2 linked regions of the Lepisosteus oculatus genome follow. The protein of the gene in region 1 interacts with the protein of each later gene in a biochemical or structural test. Links are inferred from orthologs where the notes say so. Each region holds a gene or a part of one and is shown on either strand. Other genes may lie near its edges.

What was found.
Region 2: the proteins of dgkza (region 1) and sntb2 form a complex in vitro, tested with the Homo sapiens proteins (2 studies listed by BioGRID and IntAct, with this or other methods). The link is inferred for Lepisosteus oculatus from reciprocal best matches to the Homo sapiens genes DGKZ and SNTB2.

The regions. Positions count from the first base shown.
Region 1 is NC_090716.1:4,643,702-4,650,928, reverse strand, and holds the start of dgkza (diacylglycerol kinase zeta), read right to left. Parts: upstream 3,265-7,227; 5' UTR 3,042-3,264; intron 1-3,041. UniProt on the Homo sapiens protein: Diacylglycerol kinase that converts diacylglycerol/DAG into phosphatidic acid/phosphatidate/PA and regulates the respective levels of these two bioactive lipids.
Region 2 is NC_090715.1:12,723,073-12,731,360, reverse strand, and holds the start of sntb2 (beta-2-syntrophin), read right to left. Parts: upstream 3,142-8,288; 5' UTR 2,921-3,141; coding exon 2,203-2,920; intron 1-2,202. Other genes in the region: spire2 (protein spire homolog 2), read right to left, coding at 6,720-6,933, 7,241-7,338. UniProt on the Homo sapiens protein: Adapter protein that binds to and probably organizes the subcellular localization of a variety of membrane proteins. May link various receptors to the actin cytoskeleton and the dystrophin glycoprotein complex.

The DNA.
Region 1 (7,227 bases):
CTAATGATAGGCAGAAAAAAGGGTTCATTTGTCAGAGAAGAGCAGTGCATTGTATTTGGATGCTGTGGGCTTTGCATGTCCGCAGAAAGGGCATTCAACTAAAACCTACCTTGAGAACTACTGTATGAAGATCTGGGTTATGAACACAGGGAAATTCTCCTGAAGAACACAAACCTCCGTCTTCCAAGGCAGAATGAGTGAACAGCAACGGAGACGGATGCATTTTGAAAGAGTAACTCTCCTCCTTCTGCAGTGCGCAAACAATTTCTTTTTCGGAAATAAATTCAGTCCGGGTGCACAAAAAGTTGTCAGCAGGAAGATCTCGGGTTTAATCATTAGCAAAGCTCTATAAACTTGGTGTGGGGTGGAACTGGAACAGAAAAACGGAAACTGCAACGATCTCTTGCTCTTAGACAAACCTTCTCCGTTTGCCAAAATGGAACCAATCATGGGCTATACAAGACCACAAAAGGTTTGTTAATATTTTGTAATACTTGGAAAATATCTGGAGAACATACTGTAGATAAGCATTCCTTTTTCTTTTAAATGTGTCTGCCAAATTTCGTCCTTTGATTTTTCCCCGACAAGATCTGTTCAACGCCACAAACCAAAAAGTTTCCCTTACCACTATTATATTTTATTCTGTGCACATCTTACAATGCTTTCCACTTCTCTTAAGGTTTTCTGAGGAGGTGGTAGTAAGACACTCCCCGTACTAATGGGAACTAAAAAACCTGATTAACCTTAAAGCTGGTCACAATACAAAGGAACAAAGCTGAGCACAAAGCTTTGATCTTAGAATTATCTAGGAAAACCAAGAGCATAACTCTCCTACCAAATAAAACTTTCCAATACATTTCAGGGCCCACAGTTCATGATTTAATGCAGAATGAGCACAACCAAGAGTCTGCAACCCAGTCAGCCATCACAGACAACAACTCTTGGGAAACGTGTAAACATTTTCATTTTAAACATTATATTATTCAAACTACTTGTGGTTATTTTATTATCATAACGTCTGTCAGTGAAGGGTGCATTTTGTACTAAAAATGGTCTTGGAAAACCGATCGTAATAACTGAGCAACAGATCGCTTCTTACCAGATGAACCATAGCATTATCTGATCACACCTCTAATCTTTATTTTTGAAAGAAAACCTTTTAGCATTGTACTCTAGCATTGTGAAGGAAACTTACTTTAGGTTCAAAGCTTACTGTATATGCAGATGATTCTCATTTATTCATTTATTCAATAAATGTAAAAAATAAATATCTATCCAACTCAGTATTGAATATTTGGGGGATTTCATGGTATAGTAATCCTGTGCAAATTATTAATTCAACATTAAAATATTCTGGAATAACTCACTATTGCCCTGGTTTCCTTTCCAAAAAGATGTGAGACACCACAAACTTATTACAGCTATATTATACATAAAATGAGACTTTAGGTATACACTCCAACAGAAAAACTACTCAAGCCTTTATTTTTATACATACTGTACTACTGTACCAGTAAATGTATTTGCCAGTTACACATAATGAAATGCATGAAAATGCATGAAATGCATATGGAAGTATTATTTCTTTTGTAAAAAGTGTTTCTAGAACTAGTATTTCCAGAACCTACTCAAACTACTGTTTCCAGAAGTAGTTTTCTTTAATTACCAAGAAGCATATTACGACACAATGATTATGTCTTAAGAAAATAAACCACAAAGGAATACATTTTACACCTAGCAATTGATGTCTGTTAATTACTTGAGAATGCACTGTGACCATCTCACACAAGGATAAAAAACACAGGTCAGTTCTCTGACCAGCATTTCAGTAAGTATTTTTTCAGGCACTGAAAAAAGAACTTTTTTTGAAATTATTAAATTGATAGGCTAAACCACTGCCCTGCCCTAAAAAATAGAAGAATGCATTTCTCTCCCTCTTGCTAGAGCTTCATTGGGACCAGTTTGAAAAGAAAAAACACACAAAAGGCCTCTGCAGTATTTTCTCCCCATCTCTAATCCTCTACACTGTAAACACAACATTATCATCTGCAAGGAATTAAAGCAGCACTAAAGAATCAGTGTTTTTAGGTTTTTCTTTTCAAATTTGTACAATTACTTCACACAACAATTGCACAAAAACATTTCAAACTATTTGCTTTCTTTGGGGTTTTGAAATTGTATCGATTTTCATCTTCAACAACTTGAACACAGTACCTAGTAGTTTACATTAATTAGTTAGAAATTACTTGAACTCTGCAGCTTGATAATAAATTGATTTTGGGAGCAGTGGTTGTGAGACTGTAAGGTTGTGGGTTTGAATCTCAGGAGCGACACTCCTGTCGTTCTCCTGAACAAGGTTCTTCAGCTCAGTTGTCCCAATAAAGCTACACAAAAGGATACAAATAGACATCGCTTGAGATAATATACACTGATTCCTGAGATCTGTACATCATTGATTGATGTCTTAGAAAAACTGGCCTTTGTTTTGAATAAAACTTATTCGATAAAGTGGACCTGGCTTTTTAAGAATCAAAGTGGAAACAAAAATGCATCACCCTATGTGGAACATGACAGTTTCATACTTCACAAAGTCAAACCGTAAAATTCCAAATTCCCCAAAGGAGTAGCTCTAAACGCACTACATGTCAAGCGTTTCGCCATTTGCTTTAAAATGGATCTTTAAGCACAATGACACTCATCTTCATTAACAGAGGAACTGCTAAAAACCATCCCAGAAACACAGAAGTACACTATTGCTTGCACTATAAAAACAAACCTGGTTTTATATTTTTGTACCTTGATGCAAAAGCATTTCTAAAAAAAAAAAAACAATTTAAATTAAATCAGTCCCACTGCAGAATTTTAAATCTTTGTGGTAGTCACTATATTCAGTGTACAGCCACGTACAGTATCAGTGTAAATATTAGAGACCTCTAAAGAAATAAGTTCTGCGGCTTCAAAAACTAAGACAGTAATGCATTCCCAGACCAATTTAAAACAACGATTTTACAAGACTCAATAGTAAAAAATATTCATACAACCTGGTCTCTGAGGAGAGAGAGTGTTTATCATCCAACCTTTCTTTTGTCCTGTAAACTCCAAGTGATTTAAAGAATTAAAAAGTATAGATCAATCTCTTGGAAGGAGATAGGAGACGGCTGGCCTACTGTAACAGACTTGCTGGAGTGGAAAAGCCAGAGAGAAAAACGTAGTAGGGGGGAGTGGGAGAGAGAGACGATGTGAGTGCTTGCATTAAAATAACTCTTGAGCTGGTAACAGAGTGCACTTCCTCTATATGCTGTTGAGTGTGCGCGCGTGCGCGTGCACACATGCACACACACAGTCACTCGCTGGCTCAATCTGCACAGCAAATCCAGCCAACAGATTAACTCTGTCCTTGGTTTCTACAGCAACCATGCACATAAGTGACCTGACACTAGCACGTACACAAACACACACAAACAGATGCACCCCAACTGCAAGTAAACCAGTCCTTTCAGTTACTTCTGCAAAAGCAAACTTTTACCCTGTCAAAAGCACTGGTGAAAAGGAAAAAAACATGCATCAAGACTCAAAGTTTACCCAGTTATGGTCTAGTCAGTGACCTAGAATCCAAATAGATCTGCATCTCTCACAACAGTCACAAGGAAATTGATAAATCAATACGGCACAGAAATCTCAACATTATTTTAACAAATAGATCTTAATGGCCACACATCAAGAGATAGTAAGAACACAGCAGTGTGTGACTATTTAAGTTCTAAATCAATAGCTTACAATACTCTTAGATAGAGCTAAAGATAAACATCACAATTTTTAAAGGAAAACAAAATAAAACAAGCTTGCACTTGTTTGAGATCTGAAACAAAGTGCCAATTAATATGTTTTATGATCCCTTTTAGATATTGTCCTTTAACAAAGCACAGATGAAACTGAAATGTCATTTACTGTTACCTAACCCATGTTTCTGTCACTGAAGAAGATTTTTTGTATTCTGTAACATCCCCATGGAGTGATTTAGAGACTAAAATGAAGCACTCATTAAATGTCTACAAAATACAAACCTTTCAATTTTAATTTAAAAAAATCTGTAGATAGTGAATTTAAAAATGCAATCTCTAAAACCTCTCTTCTCTTATGTTCTTTGAAAAACATATTTGCAGGTTATGTTTTTGATAAATACTGTTTTGATAAAGAGCAAGCTGTAGTTGTTATGAATTTGGGATATATGAATATTAATTAGTCCCAGTTGTTTCACAATGCTCAACAAGTGCCAATTTACAGCAGCCTCTTTAAGCAGTTCTACTTCCTGGCATTGTGAAACAGACATGGCTAATTAAATAATTACTTATTATCTATGATATATTATGTACCCTACTGACACAGGCAAGGATGTTGATAATCACAGCCAGGCTCATCCTCTAGAGCAGAAAGTTCACGCAAGGTGGAAAGAGCAAAACAGACCATCTGACGTAACAAAATCTCTCCCAGAGAATGAAGTCTCTTCGTTGCCGGTTTCAGTTCCGTAGGGTTTACTCTTGCTCAAAAACCTGACTCCTACCTACCAACAGATCTTCCCCACCCAGCACAGATGAAAGACACAGCTTCATCCTCTAATACTCTGAGGCCGTCACAATGGGTTTCACATGTGCCTCAACCCTCGAGAATTTTCTATAGGGCATCTTACTCTGCAAGCTCTCTTGGGAAATAGAGTTCAACTAGCATCTTAACCCAGGATGATGACTCTCCAATTCATGTTCCAAATCTGTACGCCTCACAGGTTCCTACCCCAGAGAATAAAACACAGTTTACAGTATACTGTACATACATGCAAATATTCACATTCACACACTCATATTGCATATGTACACAGAATTCTGAAATGTTTCTTTTTCTTTGTTCACTGTGTGAATTAAAGGGCTTGACTGTGGCCTTGTCTCTGGTGGGTGGAGATACGAAAAAGCCAAATCTGTCCCGAGCAAGAGATGACCTTCCATGCATAGCACACTGTACTGTACCTGGTTTCAATGTCTTTAAAACCAATTATCATCCTCTCATAGCTGGTTCGGAGAATTGAATTTCACACCAGAGGAAAGGCAATCACTCTTTAGATTGCACAAAAGCACACAGAGAAAGAATCCATTTTCACCTGTGATTTCCCAAGCTGAAAAATGTGCTTGTTAACATCCCCACCCCCATGGAAATCTGTCACAACAATTGTTTTTCCCTGCAAAGCCTTTGCTGCCTCTTCGGCTCCTTTACAAGCAAACCTTTCCCCGAGAGACAGAATCAACATATTTCACAAAAGTTCCCTAGTGTAGATAAAGAGGTTTTACAAATGTTGACACCAAGCAGCTAACAAACTCACGTTCTGCCTCAGAGTTATCATTTTCACAAACATAAAAGCCAGATAATTAGGCTCACAACATCCATAGACAGATGTCAAACAAGCACTTTTAAGACAACACTACAGTAGGTCACATTTGTCCAACTGGACCCAACAATTTGGGAAAGTGGGAAACACAGGTGTGAGTCTGGGCTCTGTTATTTGCCAAGAATTACCCAGGGTTCACCAAGCCCCTATGCGCCAGCAGCATTATTATCAAGAGCTACAGCTGCCCTCCGTCTGAGGCCCTAGCTGTGTCAGCGGTGCTTGGGGCTCACAGTGTGAATAGGACAAGGCTGTTTCTTTTCCTGTGCAGGCAGGGAGGTTGGAGAATTGGCAGCTCCAAATCTGAGGCAGGTGAATGAACAGGATAAATTGCACCACCTTAAAAAGGTGCATCTTCACATGCTAATTATCATCCAGCTCTTGGGCAGAAACAGAAGAATGTTCAGGCTGCCTCCCTCAGCACCTGTCGGAAGGCACTTTTAACACACTACAGTGACAAACGCAAATGAGTTTGCAGCAAGAACATTTGATGTGGCAGTTGTGGGAGAGAGCATCGGTGAAATCGAAGAGCTTTCTTCTCACCTGGTCGCCGGCTGAAAAGCAGAATCAGGTGTGAGCTGTGCAAGTGGTTTAAATTCATTTGCAAAGGAAAGCACGTCTTACGAAAGGGACTGGCTGCGTTATCTTTTTTAAACATTCAAAAGTGAAACGGGCTCTGGGTTTGGACCATTTATTTCTTCTTGCCAAGATTGTAAATAACATTTGGTGGCTTCAGTAGTCATTCCTACAGTCAGTAACAGCGTACTTGAAAATAGGAATCTTTTGTGAATTTAGAATGAAAAATGACGTTTCTTCTTGGTGGCTGTGTTTTAGTTTTGCATTACTTCCAGAGCTCAGAGAGGTTGCTGTTCATCATCAAAACGAAATGAACACAGTTTATTAACTGCTTGTAATATCTGATCGCCAGATCCCGGACAGTACAGTTAGCAAGGCTGGACTTCGTCAGTACAGGGATTTGAGATGTCAAAAGGAAAACCCAGATTGCCAACATTAAATGGTGTCAGGAGAACAGTAGGTGACACTCATACTTTAGGATTATTCCTAATTTCCAAAAAAACAAATACCCCAGGATGGTGACTGAGGACACTCTCCTTTGGATGATATTAAACTGAGGTCTTAGGATCTTGATTGTTAATCTTACGGTACTGTTTAAAAGAGTAGGAGTGTTAACCGTGCTGTCTTAGTAAATTCAATGGTTGGTTTATTTAATCTGACCTACCTAAGGTCCCTCTCAATTCAGCACTTGACCAGGTAAATACTCAGCTAGTTTCTTTAGTTGCACTGCAAAACATACAGGTCTATTTACTCTAAAACTTACACCTGCTTACCTATCCAAATGCCCAAGTGATTTGAAAACAGCCCAAAGGTCTATTATAATCTAGTATCCACATCTGTGACAGAAAGATTTCCATCTTCTTTAGGTAAGCAGGAATACAGAAAAAAAGACAAATAAGCCTATATCCAAGGCAAGGCTGGAAACTGAAAGTTGATCTTACAAAATGTTTACATTCTTTTCATCTACAGACAAATTCCAGCCAGGGTTCCCAAAGATGCCATATGGTATGAAATCAAAACTAATCTTTCAATCTGCAAATGTAGTTTAGAGGGTTAAGAAAGGTTTTAACAACTCTCACTCTGCAGTATTTTTCTGTATTTGAAAGTCACTGAAAAAAACAAGGCTGGAGACCTTGGAATTGCTCTGAACAAATGCAAAAACAGGCACCCAAAAGGGGATTTCAGAAATTCTCCTGTCTGGCGATGAGCAATTCCATTTA
Region 2 (8,288 bases), on another chromosome or scaffold:
CATCCCAGTGAAAAAGGACGGGATTCGGACAAGAGGGTCCAAATTTTGTCCTCTGCAACCATTCCAGGAGCTAGGGAGGACACTGCGGATGAATATAATCTGACCGCATTCCATGACTTCTCCCATTATAAAAGAACATAAGTCAGTTTCTTCCATTTCTACCTAAAGTTTGACCTAAATAGTTACACGATGATTTAAAGAGGATTTGAAACCAGGGGACAGCAGCACTCTAGGATAAGACACAGGAGCCACTCGATTTTGGAAAAGCATTCTTTATTGCTTTCCTTGAATACGAAAGGTACACGGGTCTAATGGAAAGAACGGTGTCGGCGGGAGAATTTCCCTCTCGCAGCGCTGGGGCCCTGGGTTCAGTTGCTGGGGTGCTATCTGCCCGGAGTTTGCATGTTCTCCCCGAGTTTATTGGGGTTTCCTCCGGATGCTCCGGTTTCCTCCCCCAGTCCAAAAATATCTTAATAGGTTAACTGGCTTCTGCTACTTTGGCCCCGGTGACACAGTGTGAGTGTGAGCATGCTCGGGCCTGTGTGTGCCCTGCGATGGACTGGTGTCCCATCCAGGGTGTACCCTGCCTTACGCCCAGTGCTCGCCGAGAAAGGCTCTGGCTCTCCAGCAGCACCGCGCCGATAGAAGAGGTTGGAAAACGGGTGGACAGAAAGTACTGCACAACTGCAAGGACAGCACACCGGCTGTTTTTGTTTCAGACGCACAGACCTGCAGTTGGGACGACATGAGGGCATGGAGGTTAGCGCTGGCTGCCGCATCACAGCTCTTGGATCCTGGCTTCGATTCTGAACCGAGGTACCGTTTGTGTGGTGTTTGCATGTCAGGCCACACAAATAAGGGGGGTTTCAGCTTCCTCCCACTCTCCAAGGACATGCTGGCTGCTTTAACTGCTATGCCTCCAGCAGGGTGTCTGCTTTCCCAGACAAGACCCAAGTCTTACATTGTAGATACAGGCTCAGCAGGAACAGCGGTGAAGAGGAGCACTGTAGGAGCCTGTGCCTCCCGCCTCACGTCACACACTCCAGTGAATGTGGGAGGAATGGCACGAGAAACTGTCTCCTGCAACTTCAAAACGAAGGACAAGGCTCAGAACGAGTTTCCTGTCCCATTTTTCCAGATAACTAGGCTATACTATGAGCCCAGCACATGATGAAAGGCAGTACATACTGTTATCTGCTACGCAAAGAAGGACAAAGTAGATCAGCGCAAAATATTTCTATAAAATCCCCCCACACACACACACTTATACCAGAACACCGTGTAGGAAGTACACTGGAAAAAAATGCGTGAAATGTTTAACCACGAGAACAGATGACTGCTGTGAAATGTTCTCCAAAACACTGGGTTTGACGGCGACGTACTTCCTGTCGGAGCTCGACAGAGAGACACCGCTGCAGTTCGGTACCAGCTGGTCTGAGGAGGGGGACTAATTGATCGATCAAAAGCTCATTAATAGTAGGGCGGTGGCTCCAGTTATTAACCACACACGTCGAAGTCACCAGAACAACCTGCCTCACCTTTGCAAACCTCGCGGCGCTGTAACGAGCGTGTCATGCCGGCGAGGTGTTTCAACATGTACATCAGATCACTCACCTCCAGATAACGACGGGATTTAGGAAGAAAGGCGCTTGGATTTGAAGACTGGAATAGGGTCTTAGACGGGATCTTGAAACGACCAGCAATATAAACAGAGTAGCGCCGTCTGTCTTGCTTATATAAATCTTTAAAAGAAGGCGAGTATACACTGAAATGCTCAAGTACCCAGTAGACCCAAGTTCGAGCATGAAGGTATCCCACAAGCACTTCTGCATTCAGTGTAAAACAAGGGAGCAACATTTTCTGAACCCTGCATCACGAAAAATCTGTCCAATTGACTCGCATCTTAAGCATTTACGATTCCCCCTTAAATGTAATTGATTCCCTCATTCCGTGAGCCCCGAGTTTCGTTGACGGATTGAGGCATGCCGCAGTCAAAAACACTTCAAAGAAGCTCGTCTCGCTACTTCATCTCTGTGCGCGCACACACACACAAAATAAAATAATCATAATAATAACCTCCGCGCTTTCCAGTTTTACGCGCACGACTTCGGTCCCAGCCGGTGAAGTCCGCGCACAAACCTTTTCCCACCCACCGCCGTGGCCTAAAGAGGTGAATCCCCGAGATCGTCTGCGATCACGTACCTTCCAGAGTCACCTCCTTGCCGGCCTTTTTCAGCGCCTGCACGGCCTGATCGTGCGTGGCTTCCCGCAGGTCGTTGCCGTTGACCGACAGGATGGCATCGCCGACCCGCAGCGCCCGGCTCTGGTCTGCGGCGAGCCCGGGGAAGATCTTGGAGATGAGAATGGGCATGCGGTTCTCCCGTCCCCCCTTGATGCTGATGCCGAGCCCGCCGGACTCCTGTTTCACCACTCGCACTCTCCGCACCGCCTCGGAGCCGGCACTTTCCAGGCCGGGGTGGGTATCGCCCAGCCTCAGGGGTCCGGTGCTGCTGAAGCTTGAGCCGGGGCTGCCGTAACTGGAGCCGGGGCTGCCCAGGTCGGAGCTGGTGCCGTTATCTTGAGCGATCCTGCCCGAGCCCGGGCTGCCGAAAGCGTAGCCCGTGTCGGTCTGAGCCCGACTGACCCCGCCGCCCGCCGGGCTCCCGGTGCGTCTCAGCGCGCCGTGGTTCGGGTGCTGGCTCTGCGTCCGGGTCGGACCGCCCGACTCGGTCCCGTTCGACAGCCCGTTCCACAGGCCCGGCGAGGGGCTGTAATCCGCACTGCCGCCCGGTCCGATGGGCTCGGCATCCGCTGTCAAAGTTAGGGTCTCACGGGTGAGTTCTGCCAGGACCCTAATCCAGCGGTCCCGGAGCAGAAGGTCCAGAAGTCCGTTCTTATCAGCTCTCGTCCAGACGGCCATCGTGGTCGTTTTTTAAACTACGCCCGTCATAGTTGTTCAACTTTTTCTTTCCCTTCTTTATCAGCGCCAAGTTACAAGCAAAACCCGTCACACCCACAAACCCATTGAGCAGAAAAGTGCGCTGGAAGTCGAGTTGACTCGCGAAAGAAAATAAGAGGTTAGACCGACTTTTTTATTTATTCATGAAGGAAAGCCGAGGAGAGGAGAAGGGTGGTGGGGATAAAAACTTTACAACGGGGCAGGGTGAGACGGCGGCCAATCGTGGAAACGGGGCTGTTTATTATTCATAAGGAGGAAGGGCCTCTCCTGTCAAAAAATACCTGCTCCTGAACTACACGTGTCCGGCTGCGGGTCGCCGCATGTGGGCGGGGGGGCTCCGGGCCCTGACCCCGACCAGCCAGCCGAAAACCATCCAGACGCGGCCGGGGACCGGCGGCTAACGCGATGTGTCGCAATTACACACACAACTGGCGTGCTGTCGATCAATGAAGCAAGTAATGCGCTCCATTAAGGAGACCTCTAGCACTCGAGGGCTTCCAAGTGTTTTCTCAATGACTGACTTTTACTTGGGATGGCGTTGTTAGTTTTGGCCATCACACGGCACCACAAAAACAACAACAACAACAACAACAACAACAACAACAACAAAAAAGCTGTGGAAAGAGTTCAAGAAGAGAGCACCCCTTGCCTCAGGTGTTTATCAGATAGGGACAGTTTAAGGGCGCTAAGTCATTTCCATCTCGATCAAAACTGAGTTGAAAGGATAGAGATTTGAAGGTGTAAGGCTGAAGGTGGTTTCACACTGGGTAGCACAACCACGACACACAACCAGTGCCACAACCAGGGAGGGGAATTTATTTGGTACGGAGAATAGGAAATAATTCTTTACTCAAGACGGGCCTTCTCTCGCTTGCATCATTTTTGAAATAGTATTTCCATAAAGTAAAAAATAACAATAGCAAATCTCTCTCACGTGATCACAGTTACTACAGTATAACTTTGGTGATAGTTTTAGATGAGTGGTCAGCAATCTGGACCTGCGACCAGGCTTGATCGAGTCTCTTGCCTTGAAATTGTACAGTAAGTGCAGACTTTACTTCAAGTGACATATACAGTACACTGCATTGTCAAGTCTTGACTGTGTAGTCTCGGCGAAGTCCCACAGTCACTTAATATTGATCCAGAAGATCTGTCGTTGACTCTTGAAGCGCATTTAAAAACAGAGCGCAGCAAATGTTGTTCAAGTTTGTGGGTCGCTATTGCCACCTAGTGGCATAAAAATGCACAACATCTGATCGTGCTTGGCAGAATTATGGTAGACTTGACAAATTACCCTGACCCTCAGGAACACTCCAGTCTTCAAAAAGCCCAGCGTGTTCCTTCATGCTGTGGGAACTGAAACGGAATTTAAAACACTTTTGCAGCCATTCATCCAAGAGTTTGAGAGTTATTTAAAGTAAAAAGGATATTTTTTTAGAAAATAGTTTCTAGCTCTCTATTTAATAGCTATCTCATTGTGTTTTGTTAACACCATTGTGTATAAAGAAGTAAAATGATGATGGTGGTTGCTCTTACTGTCATTATTATTCATTAGATTGATAACTGTGTGGATAAGCCTACAGCAGAGCTCACTGAAGAGTTGCACAGCATGCTGTGTGAATGTCTTGTCAATGTCTTGTCTGATGCAAGCTTTTGCTCAGTTGAACAAAGCTCTTTTCCAGGTTTTATGTACTGTATTCAATGAAGTGATATACACTAAGGTGCCACACCCAGAAACATTCAGTGACCTTGGAAGAAGTATGAACGTTTGACAGAACAAACAAAAAATATAACTGCTGTAGTGAAGATCTTGAAGGCAGTTTGTGCTTCTACCATGCAATTGGTGATCGTGAACATTGTGTTAGATTAGCACCTTGATTTATGTGGAAAAATATATTTTAATCATGCACCTACTAGCATAGCTTCGGGAATGCTCAGCCGAGGACTAAATTGAATGTTCAAGGGAGAACACGGATTTTGCAAATGGATTTTTTATAATGTTTTTTATTAAACGAGTTGCAACTTTATTTGTAGCAGAATAACTTTATGGGACCTCATACAAATGCAAATACCTGCTGACAATGATTAAATACTATACTGCTTTTAGGGTAATTCTTACTCTCCTGTTTCAAAATTATTCTCTTTAGTTTTATTTCCAGTACATGCAAAAATGTAGGAAATGCATTAAATTCTTGTACTTGCTTGAATCAAGGGTCTCTTTCGGACAGATTTTATATTTTTACAATTGCATTGACTCGGTATAGCTGGGATTCAGACCCGCGTGTGTCTCATGTCAACAAGACTCACTCGTGATATCAGCTAAAGGATCCTGAAGCTCTGGACCTGACTCAAGACTCTTGGGAAACATCTGAGTTAAGCTGAGCAATTCTGACTTGACTACAGGTCTCCATGATGGTATATTGTTTGATCAAAAGTAACATGGATTGTAAATGGTCACAACGCAGATGCCAGGCCATGTAGATTTATTGCAGCTTAATTTTATTAAGTGTTTACAGGGTTCTGACATGAAAAAAGGCTTTGCACCATCATGTCTTTAAACTGGCCGGTGAAAGCAAAATACTGCCAACGTGGAAGCTTTCTAAATTAGTGCAGCTATCATTTTGCTCAATATCCTTCCTTGCAGAGGAAAATACCTAGATAAAACGTAACCGGTTCAGGTCACATCCACTCAGGATAGAAAGAAGAAAAATCTCCAAATAAGTTGGAAAAGCAAAATTTTAAAAAGCAAAAAAAGGATTGTGATAGAGTACACCAGTCAATAAAAATATGATTCTGACATTCAAATTCTGAGGTCTGAATGAAATTGATTTTGTTTTGTACACTGGACATTGCGTTCTGAACCACAAATTAAAAAAAAAGAAAAAATAAATTTTCCCCCAACAGAGACTGAATTATGATACAGATGTTTTCACCATGGGATTTCAGAAGCACCTGGATGACAATACTCATACGAAGCAGAAGAGCTTTCCCGAGATGATTTCTAAAGTTCTCTAAAGTTTCTAAAGTTTCACTTTTGCACAGGTCCTGCACAGCCGGGCGGCGTGAACTCTCAGCTCTCTGCAGCGGGACGACAGAGACAGCCCCGACACCCCTTGTGGCTTCTATTAATGTCAACCACCTCTGTGTTTGATGCTCTTGTTGAAACAGGTGGCGCAAGACACAGAGCAGGTCTGCTCGCAGACTCTCATTTGGATACCGACGATGTGGCAAGCTGTGTTTTTCCACGTGGAGTTTTCGATGTCCAAAATAAAGAAGAACAACTGTGAGGCAATGACCTCCACGGATTTTAGGGTCACATTCCCTTGCTCCTCATTTCTTCTCTCTTTGGCCCCGCTTTTAGGGTGACAAACCTTCACCCTTCCTCTTAACCAGTGCTCACATCGCAAAAGCAGCACTTACAGTACGTCTTGGGGAAGGCAGACTCCAACACATCCCAACGGGTCAAGTGCTAATTCCCCTTGGGGGGGCTTATTTTGCGCGTGCTGGGTCAAGTCTCTCTAAAACGTATTCCGATGACGTTTTGAAAAAGAGGTTATAATAGGCGACTGGAGCAAATGAATCACAACTTCAGGCAGAGAACAGCCGCAAACGTGAGGCGTTTGTCGTGGGAACCAGAAGACATTCACGCGCGGCGGTAACTCGTACCATGCCAGAAGAGGAACATCGAGGTTTATTTCAACACACAAATGGCGCTATGTTTTTCTTTCAGGGAGGGCGTATGGCGTGAAAGGCAAGCACTTTATTGGAACTTGGCACCTCTCCCAGGGCCCACCCTGACGGCCTGGGCTCTCTTGGGAGTGTTGTTCAGGATGTCCAAGCTCTTCCGGCTGGAGGTGATGACGTCGCCCACGAACTTGGCGCACTCAGAGCAGATGTCCTTCAGGCTGCAGCCGTTGGCGTAGAGGTGGGGGAACTCCTCTTCCACCGAGCGGCTCGTCAGGCTCCGCAGGGACCTAAAGAAAGAGCAGGGAAGGAGCGCTGTGAGGAGCGTCGCTGTCGAGCGTCCTCATGAGAGAAAGACAACCTGTCTGGAGATACCTTTCAGGATCATGGCGACTGCAGGCGTACGATTTGCCATGAATTCTAGGTAGGAATATTAATAATCTCTTGGTGTTTCCCAAAGCCGGGAAGCGGAAAGTTGGTTTTTCGGATCATATTAATATTTTGATATTCTAATAATATGAATGTTCATTCCCTATTGCAGTTGTCCTAGACGTAGTGGCAAGAGGGACAGGAGCCAGGGCTCGCCAGGTAACTTACTGAAAGACCTCTCCCTTCCTGGGGTGGCTGACTGTGCCACTCTCAAAGCCCACGGTGTAGACCGGAATGTGGGCCAGCTTCTTGGAGGGGATCTTCATCTGCACAACAAAGAAGACCACACTGACACCACCACTCACTGCAGCCTCGCAGAGGCACTAGTTAAAACAGTGGGAAGCACCTCCGCACAGGTTAGGTTATAGTCTCCCACTTTCAACTGCACAGCAACGCGTGTGATGGGGAATCAAGCACGCAGATTATAAAATTCAGATACAAGCGTTCATTGCGCAGGGGCTCCCGAGGGCTCTCGATCAGTTAGATTGTGCTCCCAGTACAGGTTAAAGATACATCCCGTCCATCACAAGTTCAAGTCTGGGTCATGTGACTGGTCAGCGGAGAAAGGATTTCCCATGGAGCACTGCACAGTAGACTCTTCTGGCGAAAGACTGGCCCCTGTGACTTCCCCGTCACCTGCAGCCTTGGAGAGTGATGTCAGCGAGGGACATCCTGCTCCTCCAATCAGAGGTTCAGGAGGCCAGTGGGTGGGCGGGTTAGAGGAGATGACCACACCAGGAATGTTTCATGTTTAAGGATAATTTACATGAATGATTTGGCGTAATGTACTTACATTATGCATATATTATACAAAATGCAATGCAATACTACATATTGGTCTACATTACCACTACCCACTACATTGGTCCCAAGTTGCTTTGTGGGAAACATAAGAATAATAACAAACAATAGGAAGACATTCAGCCATCTAGCCCATTTGGTTTTAATAGTTAATTGATCTTAGGAGCTCATCCAGTTGTTTCCTGAAAGAGGCTAGGGTGTTGGCTTCAACAACATGGCAGGGCAGCTTGTTCCATACCCCCACAACCCTCTGGATAAAGCAGTGCCTCCTGTTCTCAGTCTTAAATGCACTTCCATGTCGTTTCCAGTTGTGTCCTCTGGTTCTTGTTTCAGTGTTTGTTCGGACAGTTCAATGTCCTAAGTCTTCTGGGTTGACTTTGTCACAGTTTGCCCTTTGTGATTTTGAATAGTTGTA